Linked DNA regions of Rattus norvegicus. The protein of the gene in region 2 purifies or fractionates together with the protein of the main gene of each other region. This does not show direct contact. Links are inferred from orthologs where the notes say so. Each region holds a gene or a part of one and is shown on either strand. Other genes may lie near its edges.

What was found.
Region 1: the proteins of Tubb5 (region 2) and Hdac6 purify together in Homo sapiens (affinity purification with mass spectrometry; 4 studies listed by BioGRID, with this or other methods). This does not show direct contact. The link is inferred for Rattus norvegicus from reciprocal best matches to the Homo sapiens genes TUBB and HDAC6.

The regions. Positions count from the first base shown.
Region 1 is NC_086039.1:17,226,139-17,229,787, reverse strand, and holds part of Hdac6 (histone deacetylase 6), read right to left. Parts: intron 3,506-3,649; coding exon 3,421-3,505; intron 3,328-3,420; coding exon 3,287-3,327; intron 2,460-3,286; coding exon 2,363-2,459; intron 2,210-2,362; coding exon 2,112-2,209; intron 923-2,111; coding exon 818-922; intron 707-817; coding exon 638-706; intron 1-637.
Region 2 is NC_086038.1:2,916,363-2,920,517, reverse strand, and holds the start of Tubb5 (tubulin beta-5 chain), read right to left. Parts: upstream 2,942-4,155; 5' UTR 2,746-2,941; coding exon 2,689-2,745; intron 1,404-2,688; coding exon 1,295-1,403; intron 956-1,294; coding exon 845-955; intron 714-844; coding exon 1-713. UniProt on the Homo sapiens protein: Tubulin is the major constituent of microtubules, a cylinder consisting of laterally associated linear protofilaments composed of alpha- and beta-tubulin heterodimers.

The sequences.
Region 1 (3,649 bases), on a different chromosome or scaffold from region 2:
CACAGGAATCCACCTGCCTCTGCCTCTCAAGTTCTGGGATGAAAGGTGTGTACCTCTCTTCACAGGGTTTACAAAGGATAAAATGCTTTTCTAGCACCAACGTAGTAACTGTGTCTCCAGTACACTGTTCTATGAGCTAGTTGCCAGTGAACATGTGAAAGAATATCCTATTGGTAGTATGTTATTAATAATAATAATGAGTATTTATATATGCATACCAACTGAGTCTATAACCTAAACTGTTGTTGGGGGTATGTTCATATGTCAATATGTATATTGACTAATTTTTAAGAATAGTTTGAAGTGTTGTCATAATTGAAAAAACAAAGCACTAATCTGAGGTCCCCTCCAGCTCAGGGGTAAATTGCTGAACAAGATATCCGAATATTAAGTCAAACCCCATGTCGTTCACTGCCTGACACTGTAACTTGTAAAGTTCAGTTTGACCATCTGTGAAATGGGAACACCACAGTTCCTGCTTCAGAGTGAAATTAATAGACAGCAGATGACAAGGAAATAGTACACTTCCAGGTTCCAGGACAACTGAGTATGAATGGCTTCCTAGCCCCTATGGCTGGGCCTGATGGTTAGCAGTACTTAAGAATCCAGTACTTAGGGTGGGACATGGGATATATACCTGGGGTCCTGGTCGAAGATGAACTGTGTTCCTTGACCATGGTGCACATCCCAGTCCACGATGAGAATCCTGTGAGCCGGCGAGAGGAGCAGGGGACTGAGTAAAATACAGAGGAACACCCTAACCCCAGCACCTCCCCATTCGATGCTACCCACATTCCATGTGTCGTTTGCTACTGACCTCTGAATGCGGTGCTTCTTTTGTGCATAGCGGGCAGCCACAGCCAGGTGGTTGAACATGCAATACCCATCCATAAGACTGCGCTGAGCATGGTGTCCAGGAGGCCTAGGCAGGAAACGGAAGGCTACAGACTCGGGAGGCTTCCTCCACAGAGACGGACTCTCCCATGTTCCCAATTCTTCTAGTAGAGAGTCTCTAAGACTGCTAGCAACTGAGTAACAACGCTCTCTCATCAAAGGAGAGCTAAACAGAACCACCAAAAGGTGCCTGCACACCCATTTGGCATTGTGACATATGCCTGTAATACTAACACTCAAAGAAAGAATTTGAAGTAGGAGGATCTATAGTTCAAGGCCTGCCTAGAATGTATAGCAAGCTCCAGTCTCAAAAATTAAAAAAAAAAAAAGAAGCTATCTGTGCATACTCTTTCATAGCCAGTCATTTTGCTACATAGGCTTAGCTGAGACCTATATAATAAAAAGTGCTATCCTTAGAAATGTGCCACTGGTATTTGCTATGGTATTTGAAGCAGCAAAGATAGAAGAAAACCAAACTCCCCACCAGCATGGGAGTGACTAACTTAAAAGTATGCACGATGGCATCTTACTCAGGTATAAGCCAAGTACTGTTAAGAGACAGCTTTCAAAGATGTCCAAATGGGTGTTTTTTTTTTTACTGCCCGTGGTGGTTAAAAAGGGACTGCAGGGGACAAAGGCTATCTTCTACGTTTTTATCAGTTCTAGGAAGTCAGCTGCAGCAAGATGTTCTGACCTTCCATGGGCAACAACGAAACAGAAAATGCCACCGGCTGAAGCTTCAGATGTCATGCAATGCTGGGTGCATCTGGATTTCAAGATGTTCCAGATATAGCCCCCTGAATCAATGAACTGTGGGACTTATTACTTACTAATTGAGTAAAACTACTGCTGAGAGGACACAGAAGTTACTGGTGACAATGGGCACCTTTCAGGAATCCACCAACACAGAGGAAAGAGAGTTTTATTGAACCCCCTTCGTGTCACTTGACTCTTCAACCACAGGAAGACACAGTACCCGAGTTAATACATTTTACATTTGGAAGACTTTTTTTTTAATATAGCCCAGGCTGGCCTCAAATTTATATAACTGACGCTAGCCCTGAACTCCCAAGCCTTCCTTTGACATCCACCTCCAAAATCCGGGTATTACAGATATGCACCTCTATATACCACTATGTGGAAATACTTTTTTTTTAATCCCTGCCCCGGATATACTTTTGAAAACATGTAAGAAGCCAAATGCTTAAGAGTCCTACCTGATGACGGCCATGCCATTCCGAATCTCAGCCCCCATAACTGCATCTACCAGCCTGAGGACAGAGCCTGTAGCTAGGCAGGCACATGAATATGAGTTCTGGAGACCATGGGAAACCAGAGAGAAAGAGTTAGAGAGAGGGAAAGCATTGCCCTATTCATTTAGCTTCTCATTCCCACAGTGAGGTTGGCATGGATACGGGAGATACCCCAGAGATGCTGCCACGCCCTGACCCCACAGTTCTCTCCATACCGGATGCAGATAAACGGAATCATAGGTGCCTGCAAGAACTCGAAGTTCTCCTTCATTCATGTACTGGGTTGTCTCCATCAGATCAATGTATTCCAGGCTGGAGACACAAGATAGAGGTTTTACAGCCCTGGTCCCTTTCCAGCCATACCTTCTACAACCAGAACTCTTGTCAAATCAGGCTTCCAGTCAGCCGAGGGGTTCAGCTGGGATTTAGGCTGCAGTCCCTGCTTCCTTTCTAGCCTCCCCCATCCCCAGTTATGTATTTAGTTCCCTGTTGAAAGACATCAACTTGTACTTCAAGGCCTCTGGCTATATAGTTACAGTTCTGTTGAATCTTCCTTTCCTCAGTCCTTCTCTTCCCTAGACTCACCCACTTTTTTGCCTCTTGGATCTCAGCTCATATATTCTCTCTGCCAAACTGGTTCTTCTGTGAGCCACACTGTACCAGGCTCCTTCCTTTGAGCTTCTTTAGTCCCCAGGACCCTCCTGGTCACTTTGACAAGTATCTAGCATCAGCCAATGAACCAGATTATAATGACACCAGCCCTTCACAGGTTTAAGATGCTGTCAGGTACCTGATACACACTGATCCCCCTGAAGGACTTAGATTTCTTTTCTTTAGGGGCTAGGAGGCTTTTTTTAGACAGGGTCTCATAAACCCAAGTTAAACCTGCTATGTAGCTGAGGCTATCTTGATTTCCTGATTCTCTTGTCTTCACATCCCAAGTGATGGATTGATTATAGGCATGTATCAACACACTTGGCTGGAACTTGGGTATTTTAGCCATGACGCAGATTCAGAGAGGCTCAGGGACTTGCTCAAGGCTGGCCACAGAGTCTATGGGATTCTCTCCTAAGCATTCAGTCTATCCAGGTTGGGCACGGGGATCCTCCTCCCTGTTCTATCAACTCCTATGTTTTCACCTGTGAACCAACATCAGTTCCTCCTTCTCGGCGAACCGGGCCTGGGGAGACACAAGGCAAACAGGCTAAAGTGCAGGCCATGCGTAGGTCCTGCCAGTTCCCCACCCACCCTTTGAAGGCTGTGGAGGAGTCACCTGAAAGGACACACAGCGGCCCAGGAGGCCCTCCAGGATCAGCTGCTCTTTGATGGCATGGAGCCGCTCAGGGTTTTCAGGGAAGCTGGGGAGGTGGAGAGGGGGATCACACAGATACACAGACAAAATGCTAGGGAGCACGTCTGCTCTTGTCCCATCTCCTACCCACCCTCCCATAGCTGCTCACCTCTTACCTGCAACATTAGCATTTCCTTACGTCTTCCACTAC
Region 2 (4,155 bases):
CATTTGCTCATCTACCTCCTTCATGGACATCCGTCCACGGAAGACAGCCGCAACCGTGAGGTACCGGCCGTGGCGTGGGTCACAGGCGGCCATCATGTTCTTGGCGTCGAAGACCTGCTGGGTGAGTTCAGGCACAGTGAGGGCCCGGTACTGCTGGCTTCCACGGCTGGTGAGAGGGGCAAAGCCAGGCATAAAGAAGTGGAGACGCGGGAAGGGCACCATGTTGACAGCCAGCTTCCGAAGGTCGGCGTTCAGCTGGCCCGGGAAACGGAGGCAGGTGGTGACACCGCTCATGGTGGCAGAGACGAGATGGTTCAGGTCTCCGTAGGTTGGCGTGGTGAGCTTAAGGGTACGGAAGCAGATGTCGTAGAGGGCCTCGTTGTCAATGCAGTAGGTCTCATCTGTGTTCTCTACCAACTGGTGGACGGACAGGGTGGCGTTGTAGGGCTCAACCACGGTGTCAGACACTTTGGGTGAGGGCACCACGCTAAAGGTGTTCATGATGCGGTCGGGGTATTCTTCTCGAATCTTGCTGATGAGCAGGGTGCCCATGCCAGAGCCCGTGCCTCCACCCAGCGAATGGGTCAGCTGAAAGCCTTGCAGGCAGTCACAGCTCTCCGCCTCCTTCCGCACCACATCCAAGACAGAGTCAACCAGCTCAGCTCCCTCTGTGTAGTGACCCTTAGCCCAGTTGTTGCCTGCCCCAGACTGACCTGGAATGTAATAAGGGGGAAAAATTTAAAAAGCCTAATCACATATGAGAGAAACACAATACTTCTTAATCTTTCAACGTTTGAAATAATCCCACTGGGGGACACATGGGAATCCGTTCCACATAACTCACCAAAAACAAAGTTGTCCGGTCTGAAGATCTGGCCAAAAGGACCTGAGCGAACGGAGTCCATAGTCCCGGGTTCTAGATCCACTAAGATAGCTCGAGGGACATACTTGCCACCTACAAGTATTCAAGATGTTCGATCAGCGATGAAATAGCTCAAATTTGGGGTGGAGAAATCAGCCACATATCACTAAAGTTGTCATTCCAGGCACTACCACCTGGTGGCAGTAGAGCCAACCTTCAGCCCCATAAGGTGTGTGTGTAAGGGGGGAAAAATGGGAGTCTCACAGAGGGGTAACTGATACCCAAGTGTGGGAAAACAGGGTGGTGATGCTGCCTTTAAACCCAACACTTGGAAGGTAGACCGATCTATGTGAGTTCCAGGGCGGCCAGTGATGAATGGGGTCCCTGTCTCAATAGGGGGGCACGCAGAAGAATCGGGATTTCTTCCCTCACCTGTAGCTTCATTGTAGTACACAGAGATTCGGTCCAGCTGCAAGTCGCTGTCTCCGTGGTAGGTGCCGGTGGGGTCGATGCCGTGTTCATCGCTTATCACCTCCCAGAACTGCATAAGGAAGAGAGCAGTGAGGCCTCAATGGCTCAAGTCCTAAGGGATGCCGCCCGCCCCTCATTTCGATTCCAGACATGCTCAAACGAAGCTGTGGTGCAGACACTGCAATTCCGTTATCTGCTTGCGGAACCCTCTACCGAGGAGCCTACGCCCCGGAAGGTTACAACCTTAGTGGATAGGACGGATGACTGGCGATTCAAAGGGCCGGGGACTGTAAGCATCTACATGGGCGGATTGGCGCCCACCTTCTTGGCTCAGCACCTAGGTTTGGTTCCTGAAGCCAGGCACCGCCCTTCCTGGCCAGCACAAAAGAGGGTTGGGGGAGAAAGGTGCGGCCACTGCAGTCGCCCACCCCTTACGCGCTCCACGTGACTGCGGTGGCGGGCCGCTCCTCCAGCAAACCACAAAGGCGGGAGCAGTGCGGGCGGGGCCTAGCTCGAGGGGCGGGGCCAGTGCGCCCCCGCGGGCCCGGGCCGCATTGTCCCTGCGCGCCAGGGGCTCCAGCCCCGCCCCCAAGAGGGTCCCACCCTTCGGCTGCAATGTAGCGGCCGCACTTCCTCCCTCCCCCTCCCCCGCTACAGGGCAATTGCCCGCAAACGGGGGGAAAATTTTTAAAAACCCCATGGCCTCCGATCTTTATTCCCTTCCTTCTTTCTCTCTCCTTAATCTCCCCGACAGTCTCTCACATACTTGAAAAGCTCACACTTTCTGTCCGCTCACACCCTAAGACCTCTTTTAAGGGCAATGAAAAGTAAAAGTAGTGCCCTACATAGAATCATAATCTAAAAAAAGCCTTGGGAAGGCGGGTTCTATGGAGTATCCAAGCCTTTGTTGAGGTAATGCGCACCGGGGCATCTCTGCAGCTGCCCGCCAAACCTCGCCCCTTCCCCCTCCATTCTGTTCCAGTAGGGCCCTCCAGGCGGGGTGGGGGTGGCGCAAGGGGAAAACCTCGCCTCGGCTTTGTCTCGGATCGTTTCCGCATCCCTCCTGTCCTCGGACCGTTAGAAAACCCCTTTTAATACCAGTTCTTTAGAGTCCCCCAGCCTCTCCTTTTCCCCGAACTCAAAAGCGTCTCTTAATAGCTTTCCGAAGATGTGCCAAGAAAAACATTTTCTCAATATTAGAACGCTAGCTACAAATATGGGTTATATTTATACGTACAAAACTTTGAGGGGCCAAATCTGACGAGCGGAGAATGCAAACGCCCCGTTAGCATTGCTCACGATTAACACAGATATCTCATCCTTACATATTTCATCTAAAATTATAAAATTCTTACCTTAGCACCGATCTGGTTGCCACACTGTCCGGCCTGGATGTGCACGATTTCCCTCATGGCTACGGTTTACTGTAATAATCTTTTTTTGATGGTCCCAATGTAGGTACCGAGCAAAAGAAGATAATTAAGGATTTTTGGTTTTTTTCTTCTGGGCTGGTCTCAGACTGATAGGATGGAACGTAGCCCCGGAGGCTGCTGCAGAGAGATGCGAGCACGACCGCAGGAAGGTTCTAAGAGGCAGAAGAGGCCGGCGAGCGCAGGAGGGAAGGCGCGCAGGGCGGGGCGCGCGTTCGCGCGGCCGGGGGCGGGAGATGGGCGGGCGCCTCGGGTTGCAGACAAAGCCTACCCAACCAGTCGCTGATTAGACCAGCGGATCACGTGCCAGACGGCCATTGGTCTCTGAGCCAGTGGCGAGCGCAGTCCTTTTTGGGAGTTGTAGTTCTCTATTGTCCACGCTGCAAAAAGAAGTTAAAGATGGGTGGGTACTGTGGGAGGATTAGGGGGTATCGCGTGTGTGTGTGTGTGTGTGTGTGTGTGTGTGTGTGTGTGTGTGTGTGTGTGTGTGTGTGTGTGTGTGTGTGTGTGTGTGTGATTTTATTTTATTTTTCATGAAAAATGACCTCTCGATTCCTAGCCTCTATTCCTGAGAGAGGATTTTGTACGAAAAGAGGTTTGGGGAAATATAGTAATTAGATGAGATCTGAGGTGCCTGAGTTGGAAGGTGGGTTGGGCACGCCCTGCCAGCTGCCCACCGCAGAAGGTCTGGGAAGGCCAGACTGCACAGCTCAGCGGAAAATCCTGAGAACTGTGTGCTCCTTCCCTGATACACAGTGTCTAGTTCTTTGTGATCCCAAGACAGGAATGAAAGAATTGCCCTTCTGTTTCCATGGGAGGTGTCTCAGGGGTTTTCAAAAGAGAAACAAAATTGCAAGGATCATGGAGAATCTGCATGGAGCTGATGTCCCAAAAGAATGGAGGTGTGTGTAAAATCTCTGGGAGATTCGGGCCTTTAGACACTGAAGACATCCTGGTCATCTTGTCAGTATAGACTGGAGTGGACAGACTAAGAGAATGCTAGTCTTTATATAGTGCCTCCATCTCAGACACTTGCAAGGGCTTTTGTTTGTTTCTTTTTGTTTTGTTTTGTTTTGTTGGTTTTTTTGTTGTGTTTTGTTTTCCAGTTAGTTGATTTTATTCATTAGGTGAGTCTGTGGCAATGTCCTGGAACTGAGAGGGAAGATGGGAATTGAATGGGCCCAAGTCAGAGCTCGTAAGCTTTTCTTTCCAGGGTTTTGAAAAATACTAAGTATCCTCAAACCTTTAAGGAGATACAAAATGATTCATTAGAATAAGAGCAGGAGTGGTTCACACGGTTAATCCCAGAATCCTGACTAGAAGGCAAGAGAAGTTCAAGGTCAGCTTGGGCTACCTAGAGACTACCTGGACAACCTGAGGCACAGCTTTAGG